3 linked regions of the Oryzias latipes genome follow. The protein of the gene in region 1 interacts with the protein of each later gene in a pairwise test. Links are inferred from orthologs where the notes say so. Each region holds a gene or a part of one and is shown in the gene's direction. Other genes may lie near its edges. The genes, in order: ctnnd1, kctd6 and zbtb33.

Evidence for each region.
Region 2: the proteins of ctnnd1 (region 1) and kctd6 interact in binary tests that used the Homo sapiens proteins (3 or more experiments, as listed by UniProt). The two-hybrid records come from large-scale screens. The link is inferred for Oryzias latipes from reciprocal best matches to the Homo sapiens genes CTNND1 and KCTD6.
Region 3: the proteins of ctnnd1 (region 1) and zbtb33 interact in binary tests that used the Homo sapiens proteins (3 or more experiments, as listed by UniProt). The link is inferred for Oryzias latipes from reciprocal best matches to the Homo sapiens genes CTNND1 and ZBTB33.

The regions. Positions count from the first base shown.
Region 1 is NC_019868.2:14,176,429-14,180,715, forward strand, and holds the start of ctnnd1 (catenin delta-1), read left to right. Parts: upstream 1-1,460; 5' UTR 1,461-1,604; exon of another isoform or gene 1,605-1,669; 5' UTR 1,670-1,747; intron 1,748-4,287. UniProt on the Homo sapiens protein: Key regulator of cell-cell adhesion that associates with and regulates the cell adhesion properties of both C-, E- and N-cadherins, being critical for their surface stability.
Region 2 is NC_019865.2:16,433,831-16,437,879, forward strand, and holds the start of kctd6 (BTB/POZ domain-containing protein KCTD6), read left to right. Parts: upstream 1-1,231; 5' UTR 1,232-1,565; intron 1,566-2,957; 5' UTR 2,958-3,018; coding exon 3,019-3,045; intron 3,046-3,833; coding exon 3,834-4,049. Other genes in the region: monoacylglycerol lipase ABHD6-like, read left to right, coding at 1-106, 244-298, 380-480, 668-847. UniProt on the Homo sapiens protein: Probable substrate-specific adapter of a BCR (BTB-CUL3-RBX1) E3 ubiquitin-protein ligase complex mediating the ubiquitination and subsequent proteasomal degradation of target proteins.
Region 3 is NC_019868.2:9,751,363-9,755,438, forward strand, and holds the start of zbtb33 (transcriptional regulator Kaiso), read left to right. Parts: upstream 1-1,269; 5' UTR 1,270-1,409; intron 1,410-3,472; 5' UTR 3,473-3,474; coding exon 3,475-4,076. Other genes in the region: nkap (NF-kappa-B-activating protein), read right to left, coding at 165-580. UniProt on the Homo sapiens protein: Transcriptional regulator with bimodal DNA-binding specificity.

The DNA.
Region 1 (4,287 bases):
CCATTTAACCTTTGCTGGCTTTCATTTTTTTTCTAAAACAAAGCTCAGCTCCTGGAAATCTGTTTTTTAAAAAACAAAATAATAAATTCATTGAGTTAGCATAATTCAAATGAAAGCTAAAGTAAAACATTAATTAGGAAGAAAAATCAAAAGCTTGCAGACAAAAAGTTTTTAATTGTACTACTTTTCTTTAATCAGATTCTTTTATAATTGGACTTCTCCACTTACATAAGGTACAAAATGAAAATAATAGACAAGAAAAACAACTTTTTTTGTTTGTTTTATGATTTTATTTAGCAAATCCCTAGTGAAAGACTTAAGTCTGTTCTGTTTTAAAACATTAGAGCTATAATTTCAATTACTTAGAATCATTGTTAAGAATCCCACAACCAGCATAGCTTCTTTGCTATTATGGATATCAATTAAGTCTTTAAAAGGTCTTTGTCAGATTTGACAAACTAGACTTTAAAACTATAAGCTTAATTGTGATTTAAAGATTAAAAGAAAATCGTGAATTGGTTCTAAATACGTATTTTTGGGGTTGAACTTTCTTTAAAACTTAACTGACACGCCTGTGTTCGTTGAAAGTGAAGCTTGCAACACCACATTTGTAAACTGCTGCCGCACATTCTTGATGAAAAATCTGTGACGCAAAAATACTGTAAGTTGTTGCTCATCTTTTTGAGTTTTGGTAAAGTAAATCAGCTGGGGATGGGTTTATTAACACTTCTACTGAATGACAACTGCTTGAAAAACACAGATTCCTGATTCAAACATTAGGCTACAAAACTTAGCTGCAAATCTTTAAACTTTAGATAAAAGTAAAGCTTCCCGTATAAGATAGATTCATATTTTCTGAATGACTAAGTTTTTAAAAATTAAAAACCTAATTTATTTGTTTAAATACTATGAGGTTCCGTTTGTGCCCAAAATATTTTATTGTTTTAATCACCATATATTCCAAGTGAGCAGTATTGTTGATTATATTTATGCCTTCTTCCTATTACAAAAGCACTTCGGGGGGAGCTCATACGGAAGCTGGGGGGAATTCCTGGCATTGTTCCTCTTTCCATGTTTGTATGTCCACGCTGATGCCTTGTTTTTCAAGTTCACATTTCTTTTTCTTCGATTTTTACCCCAAAATCTTGAAAATGAAAAAAGACCTTCACAGCCAATTCTAGACTGACATGTTAAAAAAAAAAAAAAAGCAAAAACAGTGCTTGAGCAATAAATAATTTGCCAAAACAAGGTATGTTACATTTTTGGTAAGAAATATAAATGTTAAGAAAATGTGAAGGATCTGATTAACCTTATTTTGGGGGAATTCATTCATGTAAAAAAGCTGAAGTACTCCCACCCACGTGAGACTATCTATTGCCCCTTGGCCATTCTTATTGAGCAATCACAGACGTGACATCGTGAAGGGAGGGACACGCGGAAGGTGATATTGCGACATAATTTAAATCCCCGGCAGACTAGAGGTGTAGCTCAGTTTGTCCATTAAAACTATTTATACAAAAAATAAAAACTGCGCAAAAAGCAGAACTCTGTGGTGTCTGTAACCACCAACCTGCTGGTTTTTTGTGGGAGCGCAGTGCTTTACGGTAAAGCTGCTTGTTGATCCCACCCTCCCTTTGATAGAAACTCGGTGATATCTCACCTCTTTAAGCTAGGAGACGGGAAGAGGCAGAAAACACCTAAAACTGGGTAGTCTGAGTGAGGTCGGGTGCAGGATTTCCTCAACCAGGTGAGCCAATTCTTGGATTTTTACCGATGATTTGTCGCGCGCGTGGATTTTCTTTGAAGATTGCCGGGACACTCTGCAGTTCTAAGGAGTGGTCATGTATTCCGACAGATCAGCACGAATCTTTTATGCTAATAAAAGCTAGCGCACAAGTTCAGACCCTGATTTGTTCCTTCGTCACCAGCCGTGCTCATTCCAAATATTATTAGGCCTTTGACGCCATCGTGTATACCGAGAGAAAAAGGTCCACGTTGCCCTGAAAATGTCGCGTTTTTGAACCCTTCATTGCTGTTTGATCATCTGTGTTTGCTTTGCTAGCGCTAGCCCCGCTGTCGGGAGCGTTTTCGTGGTAGTTTTATTGTGATGCTAACGACTCGGGACAGTCAAACCAGGTCAGACGGAGCTAGCTTCCAGCCCAACTGGGTTGATTTGATCCATTTTAGCCGAGCTCTTGCGTTAGCACCACCACCGAGGAACTCTCTTGCGACAGCCTTTGTTCGAAATGAGCTCTTTTATATCAAAGGTTCATGTCTGGTGTGCGCTTGAACTTGTTTTTCTAGCTAACTTTCCTCGCGGCTGGTGACCTATATTCCCGTCTTCTGCCTACTAATCATTCACAAGGCTGTGTGGGATGCCGTTAGACGAAGGAAATGCTAACTAGTTGTAGCATTTTCCAAGCGGTGTTTGGGATACACGGACTGGTAAAATGACCTCACCCAGCAGCAGCTAGCTAGTCTCTGGGAGCGTTTCTATGTACTGGTACACGATTATTAAGTACGATAAGTACGTTTATTCTACTAATTTAGTGTTTCTTTTTTTCTCTTTTTTTAAATATATTTTTGGGTGTTTGCGCAGCCGACTTTACTTCAGTATTTGAAGTACATGTTTTGTGAAAAGTGTGCGGGTGCCTGTGTGTGTGTGTGTGTGTGTGTGTGTGTGTGTTTGTTGTATGTACGTAACATCCAGGCTCAATACTTTTGTGTATTTAATTCCACCGTCAGCGCGGTGGTCTCTCATTTGTGGTCTGCTAGTCTGGGATTATGGCTTTGTCAGACGGAACCTGTTGGGTGGGTCATGTGTAAACTTGTTTTGTTGGGAAAATGCTTGGGTGGGGACAACTGTCAGCTTCAGCCTGAACTAACAGACTGGCGTTTTCCTTCGTAAACACCGACTACACGCAGGCTTATAATTCCTCGCGTCGATAGGCCTTCCTTTGGCTTTAGTGGCGTCTGGTGGATGTTTAAAGAGGATGTGTTTGAACTATAGGTGTGACCGGTTCAGGTTTGTGGTGGAGGGGATCCTGGTAACACCACATGTCGGCTGTTCTGGAGGATCTGTGCTCTCTAGCCATTGTTTGGATGTTGACAAATGATCCCACCACCCACTGTAATTTGGTCTGCTTTTTCACACACTTCAGGTTTTTTAATAGACACACTTCAGGTTTTTTAATAGACTCAAACAAGTGGATGTAGGTCCATTTATTTCTATTTTTTTTTTATAAAGCATCCTTGTTAAAGACCCACACAATCATCTTTTGATCTATTGTAAAAGCATTCCCAGTGGTCTTTTAATTATGATTAATGCTTTTTTTAGCTAAAATCAAAAACCCTGTGTAATTTTCTATGACATAGTTTCTGCAGATCGGCAGGAGTTCATTCGAAATTCACCTCTGAGTTGTGGGCAGGATTGCCCACCTCCTGTCATCCACCTGTTTGCACTGTCTGCCGCTAGCTCACAGACCCAACCTAACATTACCGGTGCAGCAAAAATAGGGATCAATATTGGAGCTATCCAGCCGTACAGTTTTGAGACGGATGGCAGCTTGTATGAGGAAAACGAAGACATTCATGGATCTAGTCGTCTACGAGTGGATGCACCAGAATGGAGCAGAGCAGGGAGTTTGTTGCTTACCGTTGTAGGTGCTACATCACACCCATAAGCATGTTTTTTTCAATGGCATATTTTTGGTCTGCTCCGGATTCATCACGATTTGATAAAAAAAATACAAATAGTACGTGCAATTTTCCACTTAATTTTCTTTATATATGTCCTCTACAGGACAAAAATGCAACAAGAACATGTTCAAAACACCACAAACAGCACTTCCATTGGTGTGGATTTTTAAAATCTATTTTAAAGTGTTAGAAGGTAAATTAATTAGTGGGGTAAGTCCTCAGTACAACCAACACTCTGCTTTGGTATCAAATAATCTTAACATCAAACTACACTATTAACTAGCTGGAAATATGTGAATACCTGGCCAACATCGAACATGTTTTTTTCTGTCTGTCGCTCTGTTAGGCAGAGTTTAATTAAGCCTACAAAGGATTTATTGTTGGTTTGTTCTGATGATCAGAGTGAGTGAGTCATGCTGACTGATGGCTGCTGAATCAGATGGGCTTGTGATGTGACTTGTGGCGAGTCAGAGTTCAGTCAGATGTTGCTGACCGCAGAAGACTCGTCCCTTTGAACTGCCATTGGGTTTTGGAGTCTTTCACTGTGGGGGTTTTCTAATTATGTTACTTTTAAAATACACTGCCATT
Region 2 (4,049 bases), on another chromosome or scaffold:
GCACAGCAATTACTCACTGAGCATCCCACTGATCCCGACCACACCGGAGGAGATGGAGGACATGTTCAGACTCTGCTCCCACGTTCGTTTTAGAATTCCTCAACAGGTCAAGTCCACACCTGTAACACAAGTTTCCCTTTGTGTACTATAGACACCAAAAATGGACAATCTACGGGGAAATAAAATCACAAAAATGTTTGCTACATTTAATGGATACTTTAACCTTATTTTTTTATTGTTTAGATTCTTCAAGGATTGGTAGACGTCAGACTGCCTCACAACACGTTTTATGAAGAAGGTGGGATTTGTTGTAAAAAAAATAATTATTACTTTTTTACTAAAATAACATGAAAATAAAAACTTTTTTTCATTTCTGCAGTATTTATGGAGATTGTTAGTGAGAACTCAAGATATGCTTTGCAAGAGCACCTGCATCTCATAAATGCCCCTCTACAAGTGATTTGGGGTAAACAAGATCAGGTAAATATCATGTTCCAATAATAACTTTGTTTGGTTCAATTTAGGTGAGTGTTGTGATGATTTATTTATATATTACTCATTATATATTCATTAAGGTGTACCAATATGTAACATAGAAATGTCAGTTTAAGACAACAGTTGACTTTATTTGTAATGAAATGCCAAAAGAGATTGCCTTTTGGTCCAGGTGGTGGATGTCTCCGGGGCAAGCGTTATTGCAGAGCTGTTGCCTGGCTGCAGGGTAGACCTGCTGGATAACTGTGGTCACTCCGTGGTTATGGAGAAGCCTTGTCGGACAGCCAGACTCATCCTGGAGTTCATTATCTTGCAGCAGAATGCCAGAGGTGGTACCAAGAAATCGTCCTGAATAGAAGATTAAGGGAACAGATCAAATATGTAGCCTATGTGAGGAAGAAGCACAGAAGTAGAGAAAAATATGAAAAATGATTTATTTGTTTTGTGTCTCCAATTTGACTAATAAAGTTGGATTAGATATGATGTGTGGTCTTTTGTTTACCAAAACTTGATCAATCTGCTTTTATGCTGACAATTCAAAAGATATCTGCTTTGAATCTGTAATAGCCCATGTCTACATTTTTATTTTACATTTTATTTTATATTTTCATTTATTTAGGCATTCGCCGTTTTTTATTTTTTTGGTCAATGTTTAAATTTACATAGAAAAATCATCAGTCCTTTATTGTGCCACCATAATGTATTGAGGTGTTTCCCCGCTTTGTTTGGTCATTTTGACGCGTAAAGCGCATGGGTTGGACTTGGAGGAGGAATCCTTGCGCTCCTGATCCCATGCTTGGTAGGCCTGTGAATCTGTGAAGTGCCCTGTCCATGGATGCGTGGATGAAGCAGAGGAGGCTGTAGCTGCAGCAGGACCTCCTCCCTCCTGCTTTCTCCCCCCGTCAGTGTGCGCAGTTCCGCTGCAGCCTGAAGCAGAGTGCAGCTGCCCGGTGAGACAGACCGCAGGCAAGGATCCTATCAGTGGTCATTTGATCCACCGTTACTGGAGAACAGCGGGGGAGTCTTTCTTAGGAGCCATTCAGGAAGGAAAAAAAAAGGCGCTAAAGCTGGTGAGTCTTTGCTTTATTGTCTACCTGGTTGGTTGATTTGTAAACCATCATGAACCTCAGTAGAGACCGCAGCTAACGTTCTTGGATTGCTAGCTGCTAGCATGCTAGTTAAAAGAAAAACCTAGCTGCTAGCTTTCACACTTACACGTATGTTTGATGTCTCAACGTTAGTATTCACGGTTTATTTCACTTTTTTTCTTCAGAATTGTACTTAATGTAAGCTTACAGAGAAGCACACTATTACCTCTAACTAAAAGCTTGTGTTATTTCTTCTGCCGGCTTCTCTCATTTATTTATGCCTGCGCTGCAGTCAATTACACAGTCACTTCGATAATGCCAAATAACCAGGAGTCAAGATTGGCTTTTGTTTTTCAGAAAACAAATAGTTAACTCTCTGTCACTTTAGTCATATATTTAATGCTTTGATTTTGGAGGATTCTATCCATTTTATTTAGAAATGACCAAAACATATGGGAACCTTTATCCTAACTGTAACACGACACTTCTCTTCTTTTTACTGTAGTTTTGTCCGATTAGGATTAGGTTAATGGTTTTCCTGTTTCTTGCTTATCTTGTCTTTTGCAATTTTTTTCATTCTGGCCTAATGATCCCTAGACTAAATCTGGCATGTTTTACATCAGTATTTGTTGTTATTAATACGTATAATAAACTAATGCAGTAAAATATTACTTGGGTTTTGTATATTTATTTTTGTTTTTAAAGCTTTAACACCCCCCCCCCCCCCCCCCCACACACACACACACAAACACATTAAGCAAAATCAAGCTCACTGGGACATTATTAAAGACCCACTCCAATGAAAAATGCACCTTTAACATGTCCTTTTGGCATCTTTCTGATGATGAAGGGGATATTTAAAGAAAATTAAGCTTAAAATTGCATTTCTGAGTATTTCTTTAATCAAATTTTGGGGAATCAGGAGCAGAAAAAAAACGCATTTTGAAAAAGATCATATTTGTGACAAAGAAAACACAATCGGCCGGCCATAAGCTCCCTGCTCCGCTCCATTCTGATGCATCCACTTGCAGACCATAGACCCATTTACGTCTTGTTTTCCTCGTCTCAGCTGGCATCTGGCTCAAAAAACCTTTTCCAAAATGACACAGGTTTTTATTTGAATTTTCTTTTTTATTTAGGCTAAAAGCAGCATAATAATAATAATAAAAAAACACTAAGAATGCTTTAAAAAAAGATCAAGAGATGATAGGAGTGGAACTTTAATATTGTCTGATTATGTAAGTAGTTATTGCTACAGAAAGCATTACTTGAGTTTTAATGCAAACTTCTCTCCCATTCTGCTGACAAGTTTTCTTAGTGCCTCGTATTAATGTAATTATTTTTCTTGTGCTTGTTTTACTGGTCCAAATAAAGGGAGTCTGTCCTGATCAAGTTCTCTCCCTACTTTGGTTTCAACCTGGTAGAAATTCTACAAATGGATAATGGAGACTGGGGCCATAGGGTAAGACATAGTTGAAAGTCATAATCATTTTGCCTTTCAGTTCATTTGTTTAACCAGAACCGCGTCACAGAAGAACCAGTCTCAGCAAACTCTACAGAACTTCTCTTTGTATTGATTTCTCATTTCCTCTGTTGGGCATCAGATTTAAACATTTACATCCTCACCAACTGATCAGATATGTAGTTGTGTAGTTCTTTTTCATTTTCAGCAGCAGTGGCACATTTTAAAGATATTCATATTGGTCAGAGACATACCGATGGAAGTAAACAAATGCTAGGAATGAGTTATTTAATGCCAATTCCTTATATTCCCCTTATAACCATTTATGCTGCAACGCCGAAGCAACTCTGCAGAAGACCTTACATCAATACTAATTTGGCTGTTTCTCATTCACCTTCATTTGTTCTTGTGGTGGGGTAACCTAGGTTGTTGTTCCACACTGACAACAAACACCACAATGATAAATGAAGCTGACTTTCTGGACTTTCAATACTTTACATTTATTGAAAGTCAAGTCAGAAACTTGCATAGTTTGTGAAAGATATCATTTGGTGTTAATTTCAACATTGTTCATGGTTTTAGATGCATCTTAAACTGTGTACTTTTTACCAAGCTGTGAGTGTTTATAAGATTATCAATTGAATGAAACTATTCTTTCAGTTTGTGTGCCAAAAAGTAGTTGAGCAAACATTAGTTCCTCTCAGATGGAAATAATTTCTAATAAAACGTTTGCTTATACAACACTCCAGTGTGTGAGCTAACAAAACAAACTCTGCTATCCTCTCTAGATGACCACTCCTGTTACCTTGAATGTGGGAGGCCACTTATATACCACCAGTCTATCCACCCTGCAGCGTTATCCAGACTCCATGCTGGGAGCCATGTTTCGGGGGGATTTCCCTACAGCTCGGGACGCTCAGGGAAATTATTTCATTGATCGAGATGGGACACTTTTCAGGTACATCCTGAACTTCCTGAGGACATCTGAGCTTACACTGCCCGTG
Region 3 (4,076 bases), about 4.4 Mb from region 1:
CTAAGTGGCTTTCAGCGAATTACTAATTTTCACAGCTTAAGATCTGACCTACATCTGTTAACATTAATAATTACAACATAAAATGTTTTTTGGTGTTTTAAAGATGAAAATTCACAGAAGTTTAGTATTTGGCTCCAAATGTTGATAACTTAATGTGTCACTACCTGGCAATGAAAGCTTCTTGTCTTTGTCTCTGGATGTCATCCCTCTGCTGCTCGTAATAGTAATCGTCTCTGAAGCTGCCGTGTTTTCCTGGAGGCTCCCGCTGCTCGAACCCATGGCTGTGGTGGTTGTTGGTGTGACGCTCCCTGGACCGGGATCTGGAGCGGCTACGACCGGGGCTTCCGATCCGAATCCTTCTGATGTTTCTCGCCTCCCTTAATCGATGCTCTCGTTCCTCGCGTTCACGCTCTCTGTTACGTGGTTTGGGGAGTTTGGGCCCGAAGCTGTACGGCGACAGACTCCTGTCGCGGCTGTCGCCACGGTTTCGGCTGCGGGAGCGAGTCCGGGGTCTGCGAGCCCGAGGACTACGACGAGGCTCCCCGCCACCGTCTGAGCTTGAGCGATCCGAAAGAGGCATGGCCTCTGGCGGCCTACTATTTAGTTTTGAACAAAATAAACGCCCAAAGACAAAAATTCAAACAAAAAGGTTTGTGTTCTACCGTTGTTTTTCACCTACGCAACGAAGGATGGAAGTGTCCGTTCAGTAAATGATCACGGGTCCTCCCAACACCAACGAAGAATAGTTCCGCTAACACAGAAAATGCATGTTTAGGATATATTTTAAATGATCATACTGCAAACAAAGTTTCTTTAACAAAAAATCTTAATACACTGCTGCGATTAAAGTTATGGCGAGTCTTCGTAGAATTGTTAAATTTCTATTTTATTTTCAAAATTTTAAATAGAAAATGAATATGATATGTGAGGAGATTATGTGTCAATGCTAACATTTAAAGCTAAATACCCAAATAGCTGTTAAGGACAAAAAAGACATGTATAATAACAATAAGTCAACTCCATTTTGATTGTTTGTGTTTCTAAAAACATACTTTATTACAAATGACTTGGAACAGACGTGCTTAAACAGGCCACTTGCAAACGAGTTATTTTAAATATTTCCATCATTTTTATTATATTCTACCACATTATAGTATAGCGATGAAGAAGAACGATGCTTGAGTTGCCTTTCGTGTTTACAGTACGTTGTATGGGTAAACGCTGCATTTTGAGCCTCTTCACTTGCCGTAGAAAACGAGATTCTGCCACCGGTGAGACGGCGGATGGGGGGGGGCTCAATTCTCAGAGGAAGCAGAGTTGGACACGACATCCTCTGTTTATCCTGTCAAGTTCCTCAATTCACTAGTTGGCACCCGTCAGGATTAGTCCTGGCATTAGAAAAGTTGCAGGTAAATATGACATTTGGGCGATGCTTTGAAAGGATGTTTCAGTGGGTTTTATCAATATTTTTTAATTGTAGCTGCTGCATAAACTGAGATGCTAAAAAGAAGCTAAAGAGCAGGCCGCGCTTCCTCCAGCTAAGGAGACAGCGTTACCTTTGTTAGCCGGCTAACAACGAAGTCAGCTGACCACAGCGTTGACATTAAATAGCAGGAACACCTCTTTTCCCCCAGCAAACGTGGTTGTAATTAACAACAGTCTCACGTCACGCGAGTTTTAAGCTCATCACATTTAGAGACCAACGTTTAGCAAAGCTAAGATAAGGAAATATGTCTGATCAAAGGAACGCAACTGTCGAGGTTGAACTTGATAGATGCAAAAACATGCTTAATCACTGTTCTGTTATTAAAATAATATATTTATTGACTGTGTAAATACATGTTTACACCTGATTGGGAACAGCTTTATAATAGAAATATTAAGTTCATACTTTTCTTATGATTGGTTTCTTTCTTTCTTTTTTTGCATTGTAATGACCCTTTATAACACTGAATGAATGAACATGATATGTTAAACAATTTGCCTCAAACAAATTGATCTGGTTGGATCGTAGGAACAGAAATCGATACATTAAGTTGAGTTGCACAAAAGCCCCCCCCCCCCCCCCCCCATGAGAGGTCAATGGCATGAATCCAAACATGATCATGTTTTTAGGGTGTTTTTGTTATGATTTCACATAAAAATGAATCCACTGGAGGCAAAATTAGGAAAAGAGTGCTTTTTTCTGTCAATCTGCTCCCCCTTTAGTAAATCTGTCTTTATTTTTTGTTTTTCTCAGCAGGTTTATTTTTGACTTTCCAGTTGGTTCAGACTACAGGTGACTGACTGAAACCCCTCTTCTCATGGGGGAAACAACAGAAACAACTCCCTTATTGTGATTGAAAAGAAAACATTTAATAGACGGTGTGAAAACGGCAAAATCAGAGAGCAAAGACTGATTAGAAATCAATTCAGGATTTCCTTAGAAAAAAAACAGTTGTTTTAATCAGATGTTTTCATTATGTTGTGACTTTCTCTCTGTTTGCATTTAACGTAACATCATTTTTTTTTATTAAACACATAGAGTTCTTCGTGGTGAAATAATGGAATCATTTGGTTGGTAGATTTTTTCATCTACCAGCCAACTTGTGTGGTGAGTCAGAAATGAGATTTTGGTCACTGTGGTTGTGACTTCAAACTTAGAGCATCAAACCAAGCACAGCAAATGCCATTTCAAGGCTGTTGCTACCAAAAATGTTGTAGTATTTCTCATTATGAGATGATCAAGCTAGCGGTAGCTCACAAAACATCAGCTGCATTGATCTGCAAACATTCTTACAGCTTGTATTTAGTTTTGTTGGAGCCAATTTCCAAAAGAGATGTTCAAATAAAGTACTTTTTATTAAATATATTCCATCATTTCAAGTTTTGGTTAAAGAAAGTAAAAGGAGAGAGATAAAAAATAAAAAATCGGATTTGTAATGAAAAAAGATGAGATTTTTTTATGCCCATATCTCACTGTGACGCAAAGGCGATGGAGACTGGCCCACCCTGCTGCCCCAGTAAAGCAGTTTGGGTGGAGCCAAAGCTTTAGCTTAAAAGGCTGTTGATCTGTATTGGAGGCTGAATGTTTATCGACATAAATTCACATATTTATAATATGACATATAATTATACCTCCTTATTTTTTACAATTATTTTTTAATTTGATCCTTTTTTCTTTTATGATTACAATGCCACTGTAACGCACAAATTTCCCACGTGTGGGATCAATAAAGTACCTCTGATTCTGATATTTAGGGCTTAATGTAGTAGGGAAATATTCAAATGATAATGTAATATTTTATTGATAAAAGAAATACTTTTTTTTGCTAAAAGTTTGAAATCTTTTAACACATTTTCTGTTGTTGATGTTGTCTTGCTTCATGGTATTTAAATGCTAAAATACAGAGTTTGAGCATCGAAACCAAAAATCAAGCGAAATATTTCTGAATCTTTTGTCATTTCTTTTTTCCGACTTTGCTGTTTGCAGACATGCCAAGTCTAAAGCTGATATCTGCGACCGACACTCTGTACTCGGCTGCTATACTCAAGTCCCTGGATGAGCAAAGAAGCATTGGATTGTTTTGCGATGTCACCATCATCGTACAGGATAAGAAGTTCAGAGCGCACAAAACCATCCTTTCCGCCTCTAGTACTTATTTCCACCAGCTCTTCAGTGTCGCCGGACAAGTGATTGAGCTGAATTTTATACGGCCGGAAATCTTTGAGCAGATCCTCAACTACATTTACAGTTCCAGGATTGTACGTGTTCGTTCAGACATGCTGGAAGAGCTCATACAGGCTGGACAGGTCCTGGGAGTGAAGTTTATTGCAAATTTGGGTTCTCCGTTGTCCCAAGTCAAAGGCATTCCTGGTTTGTCGAAAGAGACGGACGCCAAAAACGACGGGTGCAATGAGGTTCTGCCGGTAATCACAGAGTCTTTCTCTATTTCTTCAGAGGAATTCAATCAAAATGAAAAAAAAGCAGGGAAGGAGGAGGACTCCGACTGTGATGTTGTGTTTGTCTCACGCACAGACGCTCAAACCCGAGCAGCTGGCGGTGAAGTTAGCGAGGTTATTGATTTGGACAAATT